Saccharomyces cerevisiae S288C: one gene and its partners. The protein of the gene in region 2 binds, or shares a complex with, the protein of the main gene of each other region. Each region holds a gene or a part of one and is shown on either strand. Other genes may lie near its edges. The genes, in order: MRPL6, MRPL16, RML2 and MRPL50.

Region 1 (2,757 bases), on a different chromosome or scaffold from region 2:
AGAAATTGGAAGGTACAGCATTTCATTTACTCACTTATTTGATCTTTTCTTTTGTTTTCTGGTAAACATCTTTGTTTTAAATGGGCTCTCTACAACAAAACATGAAAAGTACTCAAGAAAAAAAATCTTTATTAGCGTTGGAATCAAAAAATATATAGCATTAGCAGAACGTTAAAGAGGATATTTGGTTTCTAGTCTAAATGGTGTTCCCTTTTCGAAACTGTATAAAATGAAAGGTAAGGTTCGAACTTCTGTGGCCTTACTTATTGCGTTCATATTCCGTGAAACTAGTATATATTAAAGGTTGCAAGCCAAGAGTTTCATTGAACACCAAAATGTTTACCAAGCAAGAACACGTCACCGCATTAATAACCAATATAAATTTCATTTAAGTTATTTTCATAGGATATTTACAAGGTATTCCCTATAAAGTATAAGAAAAGATACATGTCATAAAAAAAATTACGAAAATGAGTACGAAAATAACTGAAATCCTGAAGTTATTTGATTTTCTTGTCCTTTAGCTTTATTGTTTCATCGTTAACGTATATTCCTTTGCCTTTATACGGCTCTGGTGGATGGAATTTTCTCAATTTGGCAGCAAAAAGAAGGACCTGCTGCTTATTGCACCCTTCAATAATCAGAGACGTGGGAGCAGGTGTTTTGACAACAATACCTTCAGGAACGTCCAATCCTTGTTTGATAGATGCACCCACCTTAACGTTGACAAATTTACCATCATTTTCTAATTGAGCTCTATAACCTGTCCCTACAAATCTAAGGACAGCAAGATGCCCCTCAGTAACACCTATAATGTGATTATTTATAAGTGATCTTACTGTACCCCACATCGAACGTTGATGTTTATCTTCTGAATTCTGAACTGTAACATTTATTTTACCGTGCTTTTCATCCTTGTCCAAGTGCAAAAAATCAGGGACCTCCACGGACAATTCACCCTTGGGTCCCTTTACTGTGATATTCTGTGATATATTCATTGAAGTTCTACCTTTTCTGATAATCCTGGGCATGGATAATGCATTTATGGAAACCTGAACTTCAGGAGATATATAAAGTGGTAAAGACCCCACTTGAGAGCGCAGAAAAAGTGTTTGCGACAATAACCTCCTCTGAATAAATGACATAGGTTGGCCTCAATTCCTATAGTAAGATTTGCGATAGCTTTATTGCGTGATCTTCCCTTACTTACTAGTATTTGATATTCTTCCTCTATAACCGTAGCGTCTCCTCGCTATTTCCGCTCGCCTTTCATTACCCTCTACTTCCAGTGAAAAAAATTTCACTGATATAAGCTCATCGCAACAAAAATTCAATGGGATAAGTAATATAGAACGTTCTAAATAGATAAACCACCAGGCATAATCACAACCAATAATGGTTAGAAAACTAAAGCATCATGAGCAAAAGTTATTGAAAAAAGTAGACTTCCTTGAATGGAAGCAGGACCAAGGCCACCGGGACACTCAGGTCATGAGAACATATCATATTCAGAATCGTGAAGATTATCATAAATACAATAGGATATGCGGTGATATTCGTCGTCTTGCCAATAAATTATCATTATTACCTCCCACTGATCCATTTCGTCGCAAACATGAGCAATTATTACTGGACAAGCTATACGCTATGGGTGTCCTGACAACTAAATCAAAGATTTCTGATCTGGAAAATAAAGTTACTGTTAGTGCCATCTGTAGGAGGCGATTACCTGTAATAATGCATAGATTAAAAATGGCGGAAACTATACAAGATGCAGTCAAGTTCATTGAACAAGGGCATGTTCGCGTGGGTCCAAATTTGATCAACGATCCAGCCTACCTCGTAACGAGAAATATGGAGGACTACGTTACTTGGGTGGACAACTCTAAGATCAAGAAAACCTTGTTGAGATACAGAAACCAAATCGACGATTTTGATTTTTCATAAATTGACTACAAACTTACGTTTTCTGTATCAATACTCGATTTATCATCTTCCTACATTGTGAAATTATTACGAATAGGCAACGAGGCAGCAAATACAAATGATGTGAGGCGCCTGAGCTTTCTTAAAAGCTGGAAGCATGAAAAATTGTTATATACACAAAGGAACTTCTTCGTCGTATGCAAAAATAAGAAAAACCGCAAAACAATTTCTCATCGGCGTCATTTGTTAAATATGCCTTAAAACTTAAAAATACACTTCGAAAAAATCCTATTTAACATAAATTAATTTGTATAAATACGCAATTTGTAAAATTTCTCCAATAAAACATCAATTTATATATCCGATAATTGTCCGTTCATTATCTACACTTCAGTTGACGGTATAATTATGTGAAGAGCCTAATTGTTTTCTTAAATCGTCCTGTGAACCACTATGTGGCAAAATTCCACCAACACTTGGTGGCTGTACAACATCTGTCTCTTCTAATATCCCACTAACACGAGAATTATACAGTTGCTGCTGCTGCTGTTGCAGATAGATATTATTTTGTGTGGTCAGACTGTTATTTCTTGAATTGGTTGCGCTTACACTTCTGAAAGAACCTGCTGGCTTATAAGATGGTTTTGCCGTCAAATCCGAAGGATTGGTCATTACCACACTTTGTCTAAGTTGATAAGGTGAAGGAACCGCCCCATTTTCGTTAAACTTCATATATTGGCCTTGCTGCTGTGGAGCATAATAGGCATCGTTTGTCGGTGAATAAAACATTTCCGGATGATCGACCGGATTTAACGCAGTTCCGTTTAGTCT
Region 2 (3,126 bases):
TAATCTGTCGTGATTGCCTTGTTTTTTCTTTGCAGCATCGAAATGCTGTTTAATTTTGACAATTTCAGATTGTATTCTCTTTTCCTGCTCTTGTGCTTGTTGTGCAGAACGAAGATCTGCAATGAATAACTGTAGGCCCTTGATGGTACTGTTATTATTAGAAACACTTGAGTTTATAAGTGTTTTTTTGCGATCCATGGCTTATAAGATTAGTACTATAATAAAGGTTGCGAAATTGGAAACTCGATTGACTAGCAAATTCCAACTGTAACGTTCCTAGTGCTTCTTTGACCCTCAAATATTTCTCAGTGTTTATACCTCAGCTGGATCAAACAAGTGTTTTTTCACGTCGTCATGTGTTTCTTCAGCGCTCACTCCGGGGAAAAACTCCTATTCTTCCGCAGAGAGTATACAGTGCATACTAGAATTAATAAACTCATAGCCATGGCTAGATTACTTGATTGTGAATATCGATATTTTTCAATAGTTATATACATGTATACATGGTGTGTTCAATCCGTTCAACGTCCTCTGAAGAGTTTGTACTGTGGTTCTTGAGACTTTAAAATATTCAAATACTTCTTTGATGGCTTCTTTGCATTTTCATCGTAAAAATTCTTCACTGGGTCGTCTTTAGGATTTTTGAAACTATGTAATCCAACTCTAACCAGAGAATCCAAGGATACAAATTCATATACCCCAGGTAACTTGGTGCCTGCTTTTCTGAAGGCTTCCCGTGCGACTTTTTCATGCAAATCATCACCATTTATTTCGAAAAGGATCTTCCCTGTGGGTACCCTCACCATCCAGTGGTCAAACCCACCTTTACCTTTACCCATTCTTGTTTCGTTACCCTTGATACATACAGCAACGTTTGTACACAAACGCCTCCACAAATGACCATTGTTTAAAGGCCTGACATATCTCATAATTGCGTTATCTGCTTCCTTCAGCTGTTGCGCGGATATCCTAATACCTTCGCTTTTCAGTCGTAATCCGTACTTACCAAATTGCAAAGTGGATCCCTTTATTGAACCACCTGTACGAACTGGCACTCTACCTTTTTGCTTTTTCTGTACGATTTTGAAACGTGGGGCATATTCATGCTTGAATCTCCTAGCAATAGTGGTGTTATTTAAAAAAGCATTGGGGGAACTTTCTTTTAAAGTTAGCCCTCCCATCTTTATGGATAAATTCATTCTTGTTAAATAGGGGAACATGTTGCAAAATTCTATTCCTCTGTACCTCTGGTGAAAGGTAATCAACTTCCCGGCAATATGTACGCTCTACAAGTGGACTGTTAATTGGTAATAATTTCTTCCAAAGAAGTCTTCTTGTTATTTGAGCACCAATATGATATTATTATTTCCACCAGCATTCTTTCGTAATTAGTGATTCAACTGGATACAAAGCCTAGGGTTCTGTTCTTTGACCCTAAGTTTTAGAGTTAGGTTTCTCGTTATTGGTGATAACAAATTTTTTTTTTTTTTTTTTTTTTTTTTTTTTTCAAAATTTTTCACAGCTCATCTCATCGAGAGGAAAAGCATAGAATAAAATTTAGTTAAATGTTAAGTATTTTACAGTATTTGCCATTTTTCTGCCATTCTAAGGTCGAAAAAGTTTCAGGCAGTTTCTCAGTGAATTGGTCAATAGAACAAAAGAAACTTATAGACAGAAAATGAAGTACGTTGTTGTTTCAGGTGGTGTCATTTCGGGTATCGGTAAAGGTGTTCTTGCATCTTCAACTGGTATGCTAATGAAAACCCTCGGTTTAAAGGTTACGTCAATTAAAATTGACCCTTATATGAACATTGATGCAGGTACTATGTCTCCTTTGGAACATGGTGAATGTTTCGTGCTTGACGACGGTGGTGAAACAGATTTGGACTTGGGTAACTACGAGAGATACCTTGGAGTTACTTTGACTAAAGATCATAACATTACTACTGGTAAAATATACTCGCACGTTATTGCTAAGGAAAGAAAAGGTGACTATTTAGGCAAAACCGTGCAAATTGTCCCTCATTTGACCAACGCTATCCAAGATTGGATTGAGCGCGTGGCCAAAATTCCTGTAGATGACACCGGTATGGAACCAGATGTTTGTATCATTGAATTGGGTGGGACAGTTGGTGACATTGAAAGTGCTCCTTTTGTGGAGGCACTAAGACAATTCCAATTTAAAGTTGGAAAGGAAAATTTTGCCTTGATACACGTTTCTCTAGTTCCTGTCATCCACGGTGAACAAAAAACTAAGCCAACTCAAGCTGCCATCAAAGGTTTGAGGTCTCTTGGTTTAGTTCCAGATATGATCGCCTGTAGATGTAGTGAAACTTTGGATAAACCAACAATCGATAAGATTGCCATGTTTTGTCATGTGGGGCCTGAACAGGTGGTTAACGTTCACGATGTTAATTCTACTTATCACGTCCCATTGTTGCTACTGGAACAAAAGATGATTGATTACTTACACGCCAGATTAAAGTTAGATGAAATATCACTTACAGAAGAAGAAAAACAAAGAGGCCTGGAATTATTGTCTAAATGGAAGGCCACAACAGGTAACTTCGATGAATCCATGGAAACAGTGAAGATTGCTTTGGTTGGGAAATACACCAACTTGAAAGATTCTTATCTATCAGTGATAAAAGCATTGGAACATTCATCCATGAAGTGTCGTCGTAAGTTAGACATTAAATGGGTGGAAGCTACTGATTTGGAACCTGAAGCACAAGAAAGCAACAAAACTAAATTTCATGAAGCATGGAACATGGTCAGTACCGCAGACGGTATCTTAATCCCCGGTGGTTTTGGTGTTAGAGGTACTGAAGGTATGGTTTTGGCTGCTAGATGGGCTCGTGAAAATCACATTCCATTCTTAGGGGTTTGCCTGGGTTTACAAATTGCCACCATTGAATTTACACGTAGTGTGTTGGGAAGAAAAGACAGTCATTCGGCAGAATTTTATCCAGACATTGATGAAAAAAATCACGTTGTCGTTTTCATGCCTGAAATTGACAAGGAAACCATGGGGGGCTCAATGAGATTAGGTTTGAGACCAACATTTTTCCAAAATGAAACTGAATGGAGTCAAATCAAGAAGTTATACGGTGACGTCTCCGAAGT
Region 3 (3,502 bases), on a different chromosome or scaffold from region 2:
AACATTGGTTGCTGATCAAGAAGACGATGTTATATTCTGAAGTTTCAGGCAGAACAAGACCCTTTTCAAAAATATGTAAGCCATTATTAAAAAAAAGGATATTTTGTATAATTGTTTAATAAAATAACATCTTTTTAAACAATCATAAATAGCACTTCTTATCATACAACCTCAAATCATATCGGTCCAAATTTGCTCAAATTGTACATGAGATATAACTTTTTCTTCTAATGCTTTCATTTCAGAGTTTGTTTTTTTTTTTTCTTTTTTTTTTTTTTCCTTACCGGAGTCTGAATCTCTTACTTCCTTAACTTAGATGTTAGTGACTAAAATCTGATGGACAGTATCAAAATGTAAATATTGTACCTAAAAAGAAAAAAGTATTAAAGTGGTTTGCCATAAATTTTAAACAAGTGAAAAGTTTCAATATTTATATTTACATGATTGTGGACAAGCGGCATTGTCTACAGGCTGTGCAAAATTATATAGTACAGATAAATGTAACCAGAACAACGAAGAAAAGGTCCCTATGTTGCTTCTTTTCTACTAAAATTAGCCTATTTATAATCTTGCATCTTTGCCTCTTGGTCTGTCTTTTACTTTCATTCTATTTTGATTTTTACCCCTTCTAGTCTTGTACCCCTTTGCCAGTTGTCCCCATGGAGACATTGATAATTTATTAGACTTGGATTTACCACGGCCACCACCGTGAGGATGGTCACATTTATTCATGGCAACACCTCTAACAGTGGGTCTTATCCCTAACCATCTTGATCTGCCGGCTTTACCAAGAGATCTGTTTTGATGGTCAATATTGGAGACCACGCCAATGGTAGCGACAGCCTCTAAAGACACATAACGATGTTCACCGCTTTGTAATCTAACAATAGCTTTCTTTTTTTCAGGTAATTTCGCAAGGACTCTGGCATATGTACCAGCAGAGCGACAAAATTTTCCAGGTCCAACGGGTGTTATGCCAACGTTGTGAATAATAGTACCTATGGGGATCATGGAAATAGGTAGACAGTTGCCTCTTTGGGTAGTCTTAACACTCAAGATAGCAGGGTCTACTTTCCCGCCCATTTCATTCAGTAAAGTTTGAGGAATACCTCTTCTGAAGGATTCGACCACATCGCCTGGGCGTAACCCATCACAAGCAATAATATAAGACAATTCGCCGGTAGTATTATGCTTCAATAGGGCGATATGAGAGGATCTACCCGGATCGTACTCAATCCTTTGCACCGTTTGTGCACCACCTTCCCATCTGTTAAAGTCTATCAGCCTCGTTCTATTTCTATGGCCACCACCTTGGTGACGGACAGTGATTTTTCCTGAATTATTTCTACCACCGTGCTTCTTTCGAACAACAGTTAGGGCTCTAACCGGACGACCTTTGTACAAATATGGATAAATGGGGGAACGGTACCATCTCAAACCAGGTGAGACGGGTTTTAGCCTCTTCATCTGGGTCACTTCTTTCGAAAGTTTACGACGTCTTTTAATCAATTCATCCTGCTTCTCAAGAGTCACGATATCAGTATCGTTAGGTATAATCTTTAGTAATCGTGGAGTAATGTTCAAACTGGAGTCATCTTTTGAAGTATTCTCTTGCCACAATTTAACACTCTGAGATAGAGTTCGACAGAGTATACCGTATGGATAACAAGGGTTTCTCTTACTAATAAGCGATGCTGTGGAACTGCACGACAGCGCCGATCTAAGAGACCCTAGCACCAACATCTTTCATAAACACTTAAATTATCTTCTCTGCGTATTTCTGGACTAGTTTACAACGTTCTCTTTTGCTTAGTTAGAACTCGCTTTCAGTTTCCCATACGTTCCCTTTCTCTTTCAATTATAGGTTCAAGCCCTAACTTTCCACCTCGCGTAGTCTTTTTTTTGCATGGAAAATTTTTTTTGAGTATTTAAAGAACAGAGGTTCTATTCAAATTTAACCGTAGAATATACTTATTCATCTTAAATACCAAGCGCTTCAACCTGTACGTGGATGGTAACATATAGATATTTCTATAGAATGTGTTAAGGAACAGGAGTTCCTGACAAACAAAAATAGATCGTACTAATACTTTTTTTTTCGAACTATACTGTTTGCGTATGCTTATAAAGCCAAGAGGGGGATGTTTGTGTATTACTTTCTTTACTTTTTTCTCTTCTGCATTATTGTTCCTTTAGAGATGATAAAGACAACTTACAAGTACAGTTTTTTGTTGGTATCTCATTAACATGATGACTAAGTTGTCGCCCCAAGCGGATCTTTGAAATGACTGATTTTACAAACAACAAACACTGAAAATTCTGAAATTAATGAGATATTTACACATTAAACATCAAAAGTTTTCTCAAGGAACATGTATTTAATGCAAGAAAAGGATTGCTGAAGAAAGGAATCTTTTCTCAAACATTTTACCTCTTTTGCCTCATTTGTACACAGCGGTACGGTTGGATTAAGAAAAATATCCATTCGACCTAGTTTTTTTTGTTAAGCACAATTTGGTTTCAATATCAATTCTTACTGTTATATAAAAAATTGTCTTAATTGCCATTATCACTCCTCTTTTTTTTTTTTTTTGATGATGATTACACTCCATGCTAATCATGAACGTGTTCGATGTAAATTTGAATACGATGATTAAAATTGTTGTTTACGCTTTCTGAAATCTAAACTAGAAAAGAAAAGGAACTATCAAAGAATTAGGCTCTTCGTATTGGAATTAGTTGACAGTTGCTCATGAAATGAATGGATTAAAAAAATAAAGCTGCGCAAGCCCGGAATCGAACCGGGGGCCCAACGATGGCAACGTTGGATTTTACCACTAAACCACTTGCGCTTACTATTTGTTGTTATTCAAAAAATAAAGAACCCACAGAACATAGATTAGAACATAACCTTGGAGTATCAACTTGATTCACAAAATATTATTCGTCGTATATCATGGCATATAGAATCTTGCTGGAATAAGAAGCAAGTTTCATCTTTGATCTTATGTATATAGTATTAATATGTATTATTGTTGGAATAAAGATCAACTATCATCTACTAACTAGTATTTACGTTACTAGTATATTATCATATACGGTGTTAGAAGATGACGCAAATGATGAGAAATAGTCATCTAAATTAGTGGAAGCTGAAACGCAAGGATTGATAATGTAATAGGATCAATGAATATTAACATATAAAATGATGATAATAATATTTATAGAATTGTGTAGAATTGCAGATTCCCTTTTATGGATTCCTAAATCCTCGAGGAGAACTTCTAGTACATTCTACATACCTAATATTATTGCCTTATTAAAAATGGAATCCCAACAATTATCTCAAAATTCACCCACTCTTCAATTATCATATAGGACAGAATTAGTTGACAAAAAGTACGATGGGAAACAGCTATCAAATTTAAAGGAAGCTGAAATGCAAGAATTAATAATGTAATAGGGTAGCGAACGACAAAGTATAAAAGGAAGGAGGATGAAG
Region 4 (2,678 bases), on a different chromosome or scaffold from region 2:
GAATGAATTGAAGTTGTTAAACCAAATTATTTCCTTAGTCGTAGAAATCTACGATGGGTTCACTCAAGATTTAGTCCAACAGTCTCCAAACTTATTCATTACCAACGACATCTTGAAAAGAACTACCAACTTGCGTCAGCAAGAACTGAACAAGATCAAAAAGTTTATGAAAGAAACTGAATTGGAATTGGCAAAGGAGAAGAAATTAGAATTGGAAAAAGCCAAAAGACGTCAATTGAAGGCCTCTGGTCAACAAGAAAAGGTAGATCAAAAAATGAAAGAGAAAAGAGAAAGACGTCTCAAAAACAAGCAAAGAACAAGATTTCAGTAAGAACCACTTTGTTCTTCTTTCCTCCTTATAATTTTCTGAACCTCTTCAGTTTTTGTATACGAACGTTTTCCATGTATCCATACATTTAAATAGTAAGTATGTAAATTGGTATGTGGTGTTTTGAATTGCGATGTTGCCTATATACAAGATTGTACGCTATCTGAATACATACTCTTTACCAATCAAATGTCAAGACCGGGGATCTTAACCTCTTCGATAGTAATCCCAGAATCCAATAATCCCTTCTTTTCCTCTTTTGGCTTCTCTTCTTTCTTGTGGCCAAAAACAGATTCTTTACGTAACTCCATGTTCTTTTGAACTTCCGTTTCATGGCGTTTAGAGAGCTGTTGATGGTCTTCCTCTAGCTTTGCCTCAAGTGTTTGGTATTGTTTTAACAGTTCCGTATTTATGTCGTGTTCTTCGCTGAGTATGTATTTTGCACCATTGAAGTTATGTAAATAGTTTCTCATTAAAGATGGTTTGACATTTGCAACTTGTCCTTTATATAATTGAAATCGCGGGAAATCCTTCAGGACTTGAACCTTGACCCTGTGGGTTCTCTTTGTCAGAGCGCTCAGACACACCTGGGTGCAATGTAGCATCTTTGGTCGACCTGTTTCGTTCGTTATTTAGTTAGCCTTTTATATTCCTTACGGTATAACGTAACTTAACTGCCCTTTGAGTTTGCTTTTTCATCGGAAAGAACAAATGAACTAAAAACTTGCAATAATAAACAAAAAAAATACAAAATAACGTGGATGTATTAAACCAAAAACAAAATAAGACAACTCTAAAGCTGTCAAACAGAGATCTAACGGATTGAACCATGTCCAAAGTAATGAAACCCAGCAACGGAAAAGGTTCTAGAAAGAGTTCAAAAGCAGCCACACCTGATACTAAAAATTTCTTTCATGCAAAGAAAAAGGATCCGGTGAACCAAGATAAAGCAAATAATGCTTCTCAAATTACGCCAACAGTGCCACATTCTCATCCATCAGATATGGTTATCCCTGACCATTTAGCCGAATTGATTCCTGAGCTGTATTCTTTCCAACAACTGGTGGATTCCGAGAAAAGATTAGATCATTTTATTCATCTGCGAAACTTACATATGAAGCGAATGGTTGCGCAGTGGGAGAGGTCAAAGCTATCCCAAGAGTTTCTTTATCCTCATTTAAATTTTCCAAATGTAAAATTTCTCCGAATCTTCATTTCAAATGTTAGTGAAAACCAACCCTGGCAAATGGACACAAACAATGAGGCTGACCTTATGGCACTGGAGAATGCCACTTGGACGATGAGAATCGAAGGTCGATTATTGGACAATGTGCAAGCTAATGATCCAGCAAGAGAAAAATTTAGCTCATTCATAGAATCGATAGTGGTAGACTTCAAAAATAAGGAAAACGATAATGTGCCATCGACTAAATTTAATGCGGCCCCTGAAGAAAATGCCACCGAAGGACCCAGTGATAAGAAATTGAACTTAAACTTACCGTTACAATTTTCACTGCCGAATGGTGACAACTCTACTACGACTAATACCGACCAAAATAATGCCACGATGGGGGAGGAGACTGCCAAAAAGGATATGAGTTCTACAACTCCAAAACTAGAATCAGTGAAATGGCAGTATGACCCGAATAATCCTGTAGACTTCGATGGTCTCGATATTAAGAGGGTAGGGTCTGAAAATGTAGAATGCACTATAAGCATCCTGCGAAAATCATCCCCAGAAGAGCCATTTATGAGCTACTCTCCACAACTAACCGCAATAATAGGATTGAAGAGCGGTACATCACATGATGCAATATTTTCCATATATAAATACATCCATTTAAATGAATTGCTTACCAATGATGAGTCTGCATTCGAAAATTTGATGGGCAACAGGAACAATCACAATAGCAACACCAGTACTAGTAAGATGCTTGATGCAGCCTCCAGTCAAGTTTCTATTGTAAAATTAGACACTCAGCTTATTACCTTATTACCCAGCAGTCTTAAAGAATCTTCTCCAGATACAATGAAATTAACGGATTTACTGTCCCTTATTAATAGTACTCACCTGCTCCCATTACAGCCAATTGAAATTGATTACACAGTACGCGTTGATAAAGCTTCCACTTATGGTGAGTTGGTTCTTGATATTGAAGTACCTGATGTCAACGCTCTAAAATTCAATAATACACAAAGAGAAAGTCAAATTGGGGCTGCTGAATTGAATGAAAATGCCAGGGAATTGGAACAAATCAAACCCAAGATAGCTTTACAGGACAAAGAAATAACGTCCGTTCTCTCGAATCTACACGAGAGCAACAAACGATACCGTTTCTTCAAGAAAATT

What was found.
Region 1: MRPL16 (region 2) and MRPL6 share a complex: the UniProt entries of both Saccharomyces cerevisiae proteins name them as parts of the mitochondrial large ribosomal subunit.
Region 3: MRPL16 (region 2) and RML2 share a complex: the UniProt entries of both Saccharomyces cerevisiae proteins name them as parts of the mitochondrial large ribosomal subunit.
Region 4: MRPL16 (region 2) and MRPL50 share a complex: the UniProt entries of both Saccharomyces cerevisiae proteins name them as parts of the mitochondrial large ribosomal subunit.

Annotation. Positions count from the first base shown.
Region 1 is NC_001140.6:392,139-394,895, forward strand, and holds MRPL6 (mitochondrial 54S ribosomal protein uL6m MRPL6), read right to left. Parts: upstream 1,146-2,757; coding exon 501-1,145; downstream 1-500. Other genes in the region: snoRNA-binding rRNA-processing protein IMP3, read left to right, coding at 1,396-1,947; SKG6 (Skg6p), read right to left, coding at 2,317-2,757. UniProt on the Saccharomyces cerevisiae protein: Component of the mitochondrial ribosome (mitoribosome), a dedicated translation machinery responsible for the synthesis of mitochondrial genome-encoded proteins, including at least some of the essential transmembrane subunits of the mitochondrial respiratory chain.
Region 2 is NC_001134.8:144,281-147,406, reverse strand, and holds MRPL16 (mitochondrial 54S ribosomal protein uL16m MRPL16), read right to left. Parts: upstream 1,221-3,126; coding exon 522-1,220; downstream 1-521. Other genes in the region: APL3 (Apl3p), read right to left, coding at 1-198; CTP synthase URA7, read left to right, coding at 1,679-3,126. UniProt on the Saccharomyces cerevisiae protein: Component of the mitochondrial ribosome (mitoribosome), a dedicated translation machinery responsible for the synthesis of mitochondrial genome-encoded proteins, including at least some of the essential transmembrane subunits of the mitochondrial respiratory chain.
Region 3 is NC_001137.3:59,109-62,610, forward strand, and holds RML2 (mitochondrial 54S ribosomal protein uL2m RML2), read right to left. Parts: upstream 1,744-3,502; coding exon 562-1,743; downstream 1-561. Other genes in the region: VMA8 (H(+)-transporting V1 sector ATPase subunit D), read left to right, coding at 1-40. UniProt on the Saccharomyces cerevisiae protein: Component of the mitochondrial ribosome (mitoribosome), a dedicated translation machinery responsible for the synthesis of mitochondrial genome-encoded proteins, including at least some of the essential transmembrane subunits of the mitochondrial respiratory chain.
Region 4 is NC_001146.8:669,261-671,938, forward strand, and holds MRPL50 (mitochondrial 54S ribosomal protein bL9m MRPL50), read right to left. Parts: upstream 934-2,678; coding exon 514-933; downstream 1-513. Other genes in the region: YNR021W (uncharacterized protein), read left to right, coding at 1-331; SNF12 (Snf12p), read left to right, coding at 1,158-2,678. UniProt on the Saccharomyces cerevisiae protein: Component of the mitochondrial ribosome (mitoribosome), a dedicated translation machinery responsible for the synthesis of mitochondrial genome-encoded proteins, including at least some of the essential transmembrane subunits of the mitochondrial respiratory chain.